Arabidopsis thaliana: one gene and its partner. The protein of the gene in region 2 interacts with the protein of the main gene of each other region in a pairwise test. Each region holds a gene or a part of one and is shown on either strand. Other genes may lie near its edges. The genes, in order: SNRK2.4 and DPBF2.

Evidence for each region.
Region 1: the proteins of DPBF2 (region 2) and SNRK2.4 interact in a two-hybrid assay, tested with the Arabidopsis thaliana proteins (one large-scale study listed by BioGRID).

What each region holds. Positions count from the first base shown.
Region 1 is NC_003070.9:3,655,277-3,660,726, forward strand, and holds SNRK2.4 (Protein kinase superfamily protein), read right to left. Parts: upstream 3,333-5,450; 5' UTR 2,895-3,332; coding exon 2,775-2,894; intron 2,538-2,774; coding exon 2,463-2,537; intron 2,349-2,462; coding exon 2,247-2,348; intron 2,155-2,246; coding exon 2,131-2,154; intron 2,057-2,130; coding exon 2,003-2,056; intron 1,909-2,002; coding exon 1,816-1,908; intron 1,736-1,815; coding exon 1,643-1,735; intron 1,495-1,642; coding exon 1,390-1,494; intron 1,307-1,389; coding exon 1,208-1,306; intron 1,125-1,207; coding exon 774-1,124; 3' UTR 537-773; downstream 1-536. Other genes in the region: TMN1 (transmembrane nine 1), read left to right, coding at 4,046-4,135, 5,049-5,241, 5,346-5,450.
Region 2 is NC_003074.8:16,078,804-16,083,682, reverse strand, and holds DPBF2 (Basic-leucine zipper (bZIP) transcription factor family protein), read left to right. Parts: upstream 1-1,776; 5' UTR 1,777-1,861; intron 1,862-1,948; 5' UTR 1,949-1,960; coding exon 1,961-2,767; intron 2,768-2,911; coding exon 2,912-2,983; intron 2,984-3,096; coding exon 3,097-3,126; intron 3,127-3,481; coding exon 3,482-3,568; 3' UTR 3,569-4,251; downstream 4,252-4,879. UniProt on the Arabidopsis thaliana protein: Could participate in abscisic acid-regulated gene expression during seed development.

The DNA of each region.
Region 1 (5,450 bases), on a different chromosome or scaffold from region 2:
AATCGATCAGTCATGAGTCTAAAGGATTAATCTTTACCCATGCGAAACGAAATCCCTAATCGACAACTAAATATTAACACTCGTAGGACGAAGAAACGCAATCGGTGTGAGAAAGAACAAAACGAAAACCCTAAAAATGACTTTGAAACGAAAGCCAGGAAATACATTTTCGATTCAGTGGAGTCTCTTGCTTCTGTAACGTTGCTTTTAACACTCCGGCGGCGAAACAATCAGGGAAGTCGGCGAGACGAAGCACAGGATAAAATGGCCACCACCGACTTGAGCTCAAGGCCGTAGAAGATTATCCGGTTTCCTAATGGCGGGATATTTTCCCTCTAATATATTCACATTTCGCATCAGAAACAAAAAAACAAAAGAAAACAATTATTTTTGAATTCCGAACATTTCAATTTGATTTTTTGTTGACATTTGTATTTTATAGATTTGCATTTTCAAAAAAATGATAAGGAACGAAAAAAAATAAAAATAAGAAATCCAAAAATCAAATACATGAATCTTTTCGGAAAATAAAATCTAATTTACAAAAATATTTATTGGAGGTCACAATGTTCATAGTACCATGCGTAGCAAAGGACTCATTCTCATCATCAACCTCTCTGTTTGTTCATCTTATACTGCAAATTTTACAAATCTCCAAAACCAGAACCAAAACCTTAGCCAAAGCATTGTAAAGGCAAACACGAGAACAGAGACTTTTCAGTTTCAACAAACCAACGACGACTTCTTTCTTACACAGACCAAAAACCAAAATATCAACTTATTCTCACTTCTCCACTTGCGTGTACTTCCTTTACAGTCTTATCGTATTCATCCTCATCGTCTTCCTCTTCTTCCACCTCCTCCTCTTCCTCCTCCACGTCTTCTGCATCTTCCTCTTTTCCATCTGCATCCCCATTTCCTCCCCAGCCAAAACCTCCGATGGATCGGGAAACAGGAGGCGGTGTTTTGGCGTCAGCCACTATCTTCATGATCTCTTCAACGGTCTGAAGGGAGAAGGTTGGGTTCTCTTTCTTGAAATATGCAGCTTGAGCTGTCTCTGTGAGTTCCCTTGGCAAATTCTTTAGGAACCATGAATGTTTCTTGATTTCTGCAATGGTGATCCTCTACGAAACAACAAGTAGCTCAATTGTTCAGAAAAATCAAAAGGCATCTTTGAAAACATTTAGTTCAGTTGATTGATGTATACCTTGAGTGAATTGGCGACAAATATACGGGAAAGGAGATTTTTACAATCCTGTGAGATATGGACGTAGTCCGGGATCTTGTACTGGACAGCCATTATTTTCTGTATAACAAGATCACACATTGACGAATAGGATGTGGCGAAAGCGAGATATGCAGATACATGGCTTCAAAAAAGAAACCTACTTGTATTGTTTTCCTGAAGTTCTTGGGGTCTTCCTGGTCTTCAAATGGGTATGCTCCAACCAGCATGACATAAAGAGTCACACCACAAGACCATACATCAGCCATCTGAAAGAAGAAAAAATGCTTCAAATCTTAGCGACTTCCACAAAGATGACTTTTTAAATTCAAAAGTAAAAATGTAAAGAGCATGACAATATCATAAATACTCATGGGTTTATGGAAGTTCATTGCATTGTGCATGATGCTTGATTACCTTGCCATCATATTCTCTTCGAGAAAGGACCTCAGGTGCAATATATGCTGGAGTTCCAACTGTTGATTTGGGCCTAGAGTGCAGCAGAGAGGACTAAAAAAAAGAGAATAACAAATCACAAAAGAGGATCTCGTCGACAAGGGGGGAACTTGGATTTTTTTTTAGTGTCAGACCTTGGAATAACCAAAATCACAGATTTTCAGACGTGGAGCAGGACTTCCATCCAAGAGCGTATTCTCGAGCTTCAGATCTCTATGGCATATTTGCTGCAACAAAATAGTCAACACATGATTAAAAAAAAACGACTTCAAACAGCCAATGGATAAGTAAATTTTGCTTAAGTCATTGTCTCTACATTACCATAGCATGGCAATAGCTAACACCTGATATAAGCTGCTGGAAGAAATATCTCGCCTGGAAAAGAGAGAAAGGATTAGAACGTAGACCCTAACTGTTTAATGCCTGATACTAAATAAAAGGAGGTTCACATGTTTTCTCTTGTTCCCTTCCTCCTAATCTTTCCAAAGACCATGCAGATTATCCTAAATACTAGTAATTTCATATTCGCAAAAGCACAGCACAATTTTTCAAATGGCAAGCTCACCTCATCCTCACTAAATCTTCCAGCACTGCATATACGCTCGAATAGTTCACCACCAGCAGCATATTCCATGGCAATGGCAAGATGGGTTGGAGTCAACACCACCTATAAAATCCATAAACCCAACAAGGAATGCAAGATGAAAGATATAAGAGATTATCAACAAACTTTTTCATAGCAAGAACACCACCCATGTCAAGCAACAAGAAATTCACTAACCTCCTTGAACCGGATTATATTCGGATGGCGAAGTGATCTGTGATTAATGATCTCTCTTGCCACATTCTCATCAATCTGTATCAAAAAAAACAAACAAAGCAAATACTCATTGTACAAATCTTTTCAGGAAAAATATTACAACTACAAGATAACTAACGTTACGTTAAACACCCAATCAGCTAACGATAAGAAATTTACAAAAAAAAATCGACTCTTCTGCTTAATAGCAATTCATTCCAATTATGCATATCTGGGTATAGGATCACCAGCTCATGGAGAGCAATGAAAACACAAAAACAGAGAGGAATATACCTTAGGACCACGCTCGATGTACTTCATGGCAACAAGTTCCTTAGAGTTTTTGACCTTCATGAGCCTGGCAACTCCAAAATTCCCAGCACCTATGTCTTTCACCAGCTCGTACTTGTCCATTCTCGCTCGACAACCCTAATTCCAAACACACAAAACAGAAAGGAAAAACCCAAACAAAAAAAAAATCTCCAAAATTCTCGTTGAAATTCAAGTCCAGTTCTAGCAGCTAAGAATTTCACGTGAAAATGAAACAAGATTAAAAAAAAAAAAAACAGTATCCCAAAATCAAGGATGCGATTCCGAGATCTCGCGATTCGCAAAGAAAGTGGGAAAAAAAAAGGGAAAGAGATGACGATGGAAGGTTAATTTGAGATTTGGATTGGAGAGATTTCAAGCCTAAGCGAAGAATCAACTTTCTTTTTCTTTTTTTTTTCTTGTTGGAATTTTTCTTTTTTCTTTTTTGGGGTGAAATTAATAGAGAAATAATGATGAGAATGAAGAAGAATCTCCCCTGCCTAAACAAACTCCCATCATGTTTTTTTTTCCATTTATTTAATTAATACGAGATTTTTTAAAAGAAAGAGGGACCCACAAGTTTCCATGCGATCCATACATGTTTGTTTCCCTTGCTGATTCGAGTGTATAACTACGTTTTTTTTTGTCACCAACGCGCTTTTTTTCTCCCTAATTCAACACTTCAACTATACACTATTTACACGACACGAGTGGTCAGCAGCAAGCAAATTCGCCTTAGATTCTTTTGGTTCTATATAGAGAGAGTCATTGTCCATAAATCACATTTTTCTCTATGAAGATTGTCACTCAAACGTAACCTTTTAATGAATTTATGTCATGATTTTCATCTACTTTTAACATTTTTCAACATATATACAAAAAAAGAAGAAGTTATGTTCCCATGTGTGAGTGTATATTTTAATTGAAATGACATAGTTCGTGCGCGTATATGAAAACATTAATAGACCTTATATGGGCCGCTAAACTAATATACACTTGTTAGAACGAAAGGCCCAATCAATTAATAGAGCAAACATTAAAAGACCTTATATGGGTTTTAAACTTAATATACGTTTCTTAGTACTACAAGCCCAATTAATTAATAGAGCAAAAAAGAAGTTGTAAGCCTTATCGTTGTTTTTGTATTACCCAAAATCTCTACAAAGTGAAAACACTGAGCTGAGGATCTCGCTCTCTCTCGATTGGTATCTCTCGCTCCGTCCTTCCTCAGATCTGATCGTCCGCCGGTTTTCACGATGCCGTCTTCCTCCTCCGCCGCCGTCCTCGTGTTCCTTCTTCTCGTTTCCCTTCTCACTCCTACGTTCGCATCCGATTCAGATCACAAGGTAAGACTCGGATCTCCAGTCGTTTTTTCTTTTCTTTTAATGCAGCTCGAAATCGAGCACTGTGTCCGTAGATCCGTGATTTGCATGGTGTTTGCGATTGAATTTTTTTTCATGGATCTGTTCGTTTACGGATTGCTAGGATCCTCGAGCTTCTATTCATTGTGATTTAGGCGTATCTTTTCGTTGCAAGTCTAGGCGTATTTTGTCTATTCATTGTGATTTAGGCTTTTCACAATCTCGATTTTAATAAGAAATTTTGATGTTGGTTTGAGATTCTCGTTGATTTCTGCACGTGGTAGCCTGTTTGATGTTCAAATACTTGGATCAACACTGAGTTGTGTTGTAATTGAGTGGCATTTAATGTATTAGCATCTTCGAGATGTAGATCTTATAGTTCCGAGGTCGGGTTGATGATTTTTTTCAATTGGTATCTAAAATGTGATACTGAAAGTGTCACACATGGCTTCTTTTGCTGATGGTCAGTTTCAGCTCAAAATTGTTATTGCCTTTTGTGATATTGGAGATCATGAGATCTAGCTTTAATGCTTTTGCTCCTCTGCCTTCTTACGCTCGCAAGTAGTGTGACATTTAAAGTCGATTCCAACTATATATTTTCTGCGTGAAAGATGATAGATAAAGGCGGGTTATGCATTATTCAAGAGCAATCTGGTAGCATTATTCAAGAGCCATTATTTCTATGGAACCATCATTTGTGTGAAGACTTTAACTCCTGATTTTTGAAATGATATTGAACGTAGCCTTTATCAGTATCTGTCTGTCTACGTTTGACATTTTGTTCTGTTCTCTCTAATGGAATTTTGGTTCTTACTCTCTCTTACTAGTTAATCCCATAAACTTTTACATTTCTGTGCTTTTCTGTCAAGTCAATTTTTTTTGCCTTCACCTTTTTCAGTATCAAGCCGAGGAGCAGGTCACCCTATGGGTAAACAAAGTTGGCCCATATAACAATCCACAAGAAACATACAACTATTACAGTCTTCCATTTTGCCGCCCATCTGGAAACAATGTTCACAAATGGGGTGGTCTTGGTGAAGTTCTAGGTGGAAATGAGCTGATTGACAGTGAGATTGCGATAAAATTCATGAGTACGTTTCAATTCTTATACAAGCTTCTTTTTCATACTAGTTAACAGTTATCGTACATTCGTACTTATTCTCTAGTTACAATACCTTTTCTGTTTTTTCCACAGAGAATGTCGAGAGAAGTGTCATCTGTCCGCTTGAACTCGATGAAGCTAAGGTCAAGCATTTTAAAGATGCCATTGAATCTAGCTACTGGTTCGAATTTTTTATGG
Region 2 (4,879 bases):
CTAGAAAAATGAAGACCAAAAATATATATATATATATATATATATCTAGTTCACAACCGCAAACTTGAAATTGTCTTGTTTGGCCTCCTAGTATTAAAATTGTATGAAAAATCAATGATGATAATTTATTTTCTTCTTGCCTAAACTATGCTTGTTATGGCTGAAAATAAATGAATTTAAATTTAGCTCAATTGCACATAAATTAAAGGTAATTTCTAGAAGAATTTTGGAGGAAAAACTGAGAATTTAAATGATTATTGATTTTTTTAAAAAATAATTAATTAATTACATAGATTTTTCTTTTCTATTTTGTTTTAAACCATACTAATTAACTCCACGAGAGGAAATTAAAAGAGTGTACAAAAGTAACTTCAGAAACAAAAAGTGTAGAGAATATAGCTAAACAATCCGCCTTAAAATTACATAAACAAGAAATAGAAGAAAAAGAGAAAAAATGAAAGAAAACACGGAATAAATCAAATTATATATACTTATAAAACTTGAATTAAATACTTTTTTGTCAACAATATGAGTTAAATAAAATAATAAGACATTAAATATGAAAGATATTTAATAAATTTATCAAGATAAGGACGAAAATAAGATAAAATTAGTCATATTAATTTTTTGGCTACCTAATTTGAAAATATTGAAAAACTTACCTACTCATATATTAAACATATAATTGGGGTAGAATTTATGCGCACAAATATTCTGTGTAAAACTTTCATATATTTGGTCTAATGAAAACAAATCTTAGATCTAGATCAATTTTCATGAAATAAGACAAAGCTCGCCGTAACGAAGCTTGGCATGACGAAGCTCGGAGAGATGCCGCATAACCCTAGCAGCCACTATATTGAATTAACTATCCAACCTGTTCGCATCTCGGATTTCTAATATTGTATTCACACGAGTTCGAATAACTATTACTTTATAATATTTATTTATTTTAACGTATACAACAGATGGCAGATATCGAGTTAAATATGTGAATCAGCCGTTACGATATTTTAAAACTAGAAAATTATTTAAAAATATTGCAAAATACCATTTAATTTCATTGTTCATAAAAAAAAGAAATTTAAAAACTTAAAAACTGATTCAAAAATTTGGATTAATTATCGTTAACAGTCTTCAACACTACAACAACATGTTTCTAATTTATTTTATATTTTAATAATTAAACAATATATACGTCTGCACATTGTTGCTCCGACATAATCTAGTATAAAAATAGTTGCAGCATATGTGAAAAGCAAGCAGCATTTATTACTCAATACTTATAATTTTATTTGTTGTATGTATTAAGGTTTTGTAGCTTTAAGAAAACGCTTATAATATAAAATAACTTCTAGAAGATATTTCATGCGTATACAATAAATATTTGTGAAAAAACATTTCGAAAACGTGTACAACATATAAACTATTGTGTTATCTTTTGACATTCAAACAAATGTTGACAATGTAATTTTATCCATGATATGATTGGCCAATTAGCTGCGAGGTAAAAATCCGTATACGAGTAAAAGTAAGATAAAATTTCGCAAGAAGAATTTTAGCAGGAAATCTAAGACAAGTGTCATGAACGTGTCAATCAACAAACGAAAAGGAGAATTATAGAATCCAGATTCGACGTACCACATTAATAAATATCAAAACATTTTATGTTATTTTATTTTTGCTCTGGCAGTTACACTCTTTTTCATTGCTCCAATAAAAAAATACTCGCATGCATGCATATATATACACCATAGTAAACTCCGCCTCTTCTTCATTTTAAAAGTATCAGTTTACACTGACACAATCCTTAACTATTTTCCTTTGTTCTTCTTCATCTTTATTACACATTTTTTTCAAGGTAACAAATAATCTTTTTAAGTCACTTTTATACTCTTTAAATCTTAGATTGATATATGAATGCATGTTAATATTTCAAGATTTATAGGTCTACCAAACGATGTCGGTTTTCGAATCGGAGACTTCGAACTTCCACGTCTACAACAACCACGAAATCCAAACGCAACCGCAAATGCAAACGTTTCTGTCGGAGGAGGAACCGGTAGGGAGACAGAACTCGATTTTGTCACTAACTCTTGACGAAATTCAGATGAAAAGCGGTAAGAGCTTTGGAGCGATGAACATGGACGAGTTCCTAGCGAACTTGTGGACAACCGTTGAAGAAAACGACAACGAAGGAGGTGGGGCTCACAACGACGGAGAGAAGCCGGCGGTGCTGCCACGTCAAGGGTCGTTGTCCCTCCCTGTGCCTTTATGCAAGAAAACGGTCGACGAGGTTTGGCTCGAGATACAAAACGGTGTACAACAACATCCACCGTCGTCGAATTCCGGTCAAAACTCCGCCGAAAATATTCGCCGGCAACAAACCCTTGGTGAGATCACTCTCGAGGATTTTCTTGTTAAGGCTGGTGTTGTACAAGAACCGTTGAAGACAACGATGAGGATGTCGAGTTCTGATTTTGGTTATAACCCCGAGTTTGGAGTTGGTTTACATTGTCAGAACCAAAACAATTATGGTGATAACCGGTCGGTTTATAGTGAAAACCGACCGTTTTACTCGGTTTTGGGAGAATCTTCAAGCTGTATGACCGGGAATGGGAGGAGTAATCAGTATCTGACCGGTTTAGATGCTTTTCGGATCAAGAAACGGATAATTGATGGTCCACCTGAAATTTTGATGGAGCGGAGACAACGGCGAATGATTAAAAACCGCGAATCTGCGGCTCGGTCTCGAGCCCGGAGACAAGTAAGTCGGAGTTTGGACCACAATATATAGGAACTGTGTTTTGTATAACATGACTATAGGGGCCATTGGTTAAATCCGGTTTGAAAATTTATTTTTTTTGGCCAAGTTAGAGTTAGAGACTAATTTGGGTTTCACTCTTTATAGGCTTATACTGTGGAACTGGAGTTGGAATTGAACAACCTCACGGAAGAAAACACGAAGCTGAAGGAAATTGTGGTAATTTCTTGATAAAACATTATTTATAACGACTAATATAAGCTATTAAGCTATGATTCATATTTGGAAAACAATATCCTAGTAACCATTTTCAATTTAATACTTTTTGCTAGGAGGAAAATGAGAAGAAAAGAAGACAAGAGGTAATACTCCAATTTCCATATGTACTAAAACGGTTACTTAACGAATATGAATTATCAAAATACATCATTTTGGATTTATGTGTGATATTGTTGGATTCAAAGTTGACAATATCGTTATCTAACAAATATAGCTTAAATGATAATAAGTTAATAACTAAGCTGTGATGGGTTAGTGGTTTTTATTTGAAGTATGAACTTTCATTATAAATTAAGATAGAAATTGATTTTTTCAAGTGATCTTCTACTTCACAATTTAGCGACCATAAAGTTTATATAATTTTAGTTTTTTAAAAGAAAGAAGTTGATCTCTGTGGTTAAAAATATAAATAAAATAAATTAATGAAATGGCATGCAGATAATAAGTAGAAGCAAACAAGTGACTAAAGAGAAGAGCGGAGACAAATTGAGAAAGATTCGGAGGATGGCCAGTGCCGGGTGGTAAATAGATATGAGAGTTTGTGTAATTTACATATGATATTTTATTGATCGTTTCTATCTATACACATAAATATTTGTATCTATATTATATTTTGAGACAAACATGGAATTTGTGTATATAGGATCATTTCTTTTTATATATACTCATAAATCATAATCGCCAGATTTAGTTTCTATGTTTTCTTCATCTTTCTCCGATGCTGAAATTACATCGTTTAATCCGATAATTTTAATCATGTGTTAGACTGTGAGTGTAGATGAAAATTTTGAAGATATTAGAATACACCACTTGCTTTAAGCACATGTTATACAACATACCGAATTATTTCTGTATACACAAGCTGGAAATATTTCATCTCCACTTCTTGATTCTCACATAGTAATTTTCTGAAAAATGCCCTTACATCATTTCCAGAAGCCACAAAACAAAGACCACATTATAGTTATTGAACCTTTTTTTGTTTTTGTTTTGGTCGTCTGCTATATTATCTTCAAAGATATTTTGAAACAATTTTATTACACATGATGATCGATCACGATTTATATATCCCAGGATACAACCGATCACGAACTAATACCCAAACACACTATAACTCAAGCGAACTTAATCTACGATATGTTTTCGAAACTACTAAAATAAAAACTTACTTTTAAGAAGCAAGAGAGAAGCGAGACTTTAAAACTTAGAGTGTTTTGTGTTTGTGAGAAATAATGAGAGACTTGGTCTCTTTATATATAGTAGAGAGAGGTAGGATTTGTGAGAATATTCTCAGGATATGGAATATTTTGAGAATATGGAGTATTTTCGTAAGATTCAACCCAACAAGCCCAATAACTCACAAGCATAACGGTCCACAAACCCGACAGTCCTCGAGTCGACGACGTGACAATTCGCTAACCCGCAATCGGGCTCAGCCAAGTTCGGTTCGATTTGGTTCGGTCCGGTTTGGTCCAAGTTTCCCACTTCACACCCTTATTTCTCATTCAATACAACTTCGTTTTTAACGTATGAGTATACCATCTTGTAGTACTCTTTACCAGCCTTCCATTGCACTAACAACCCGACAATTCCGTTTAACCGTTTAAACGAAATTTGGCTGGAAAGTTACCGAAAAACTATTATGTCAAAAAAGTTGCAACATCCACGACGTGCATCTCTCCCCACAACAATTGGATCATCTATTGACGGTTCTTCCTTGCACCATACCAGCATCTCACCCCACAACACTTGGATCATCTATTGACGATTGTTCCTTGCACCATACCAGCGATGAACAATCTTACATCTAACACTCGAGAACACGACTGACGGTTC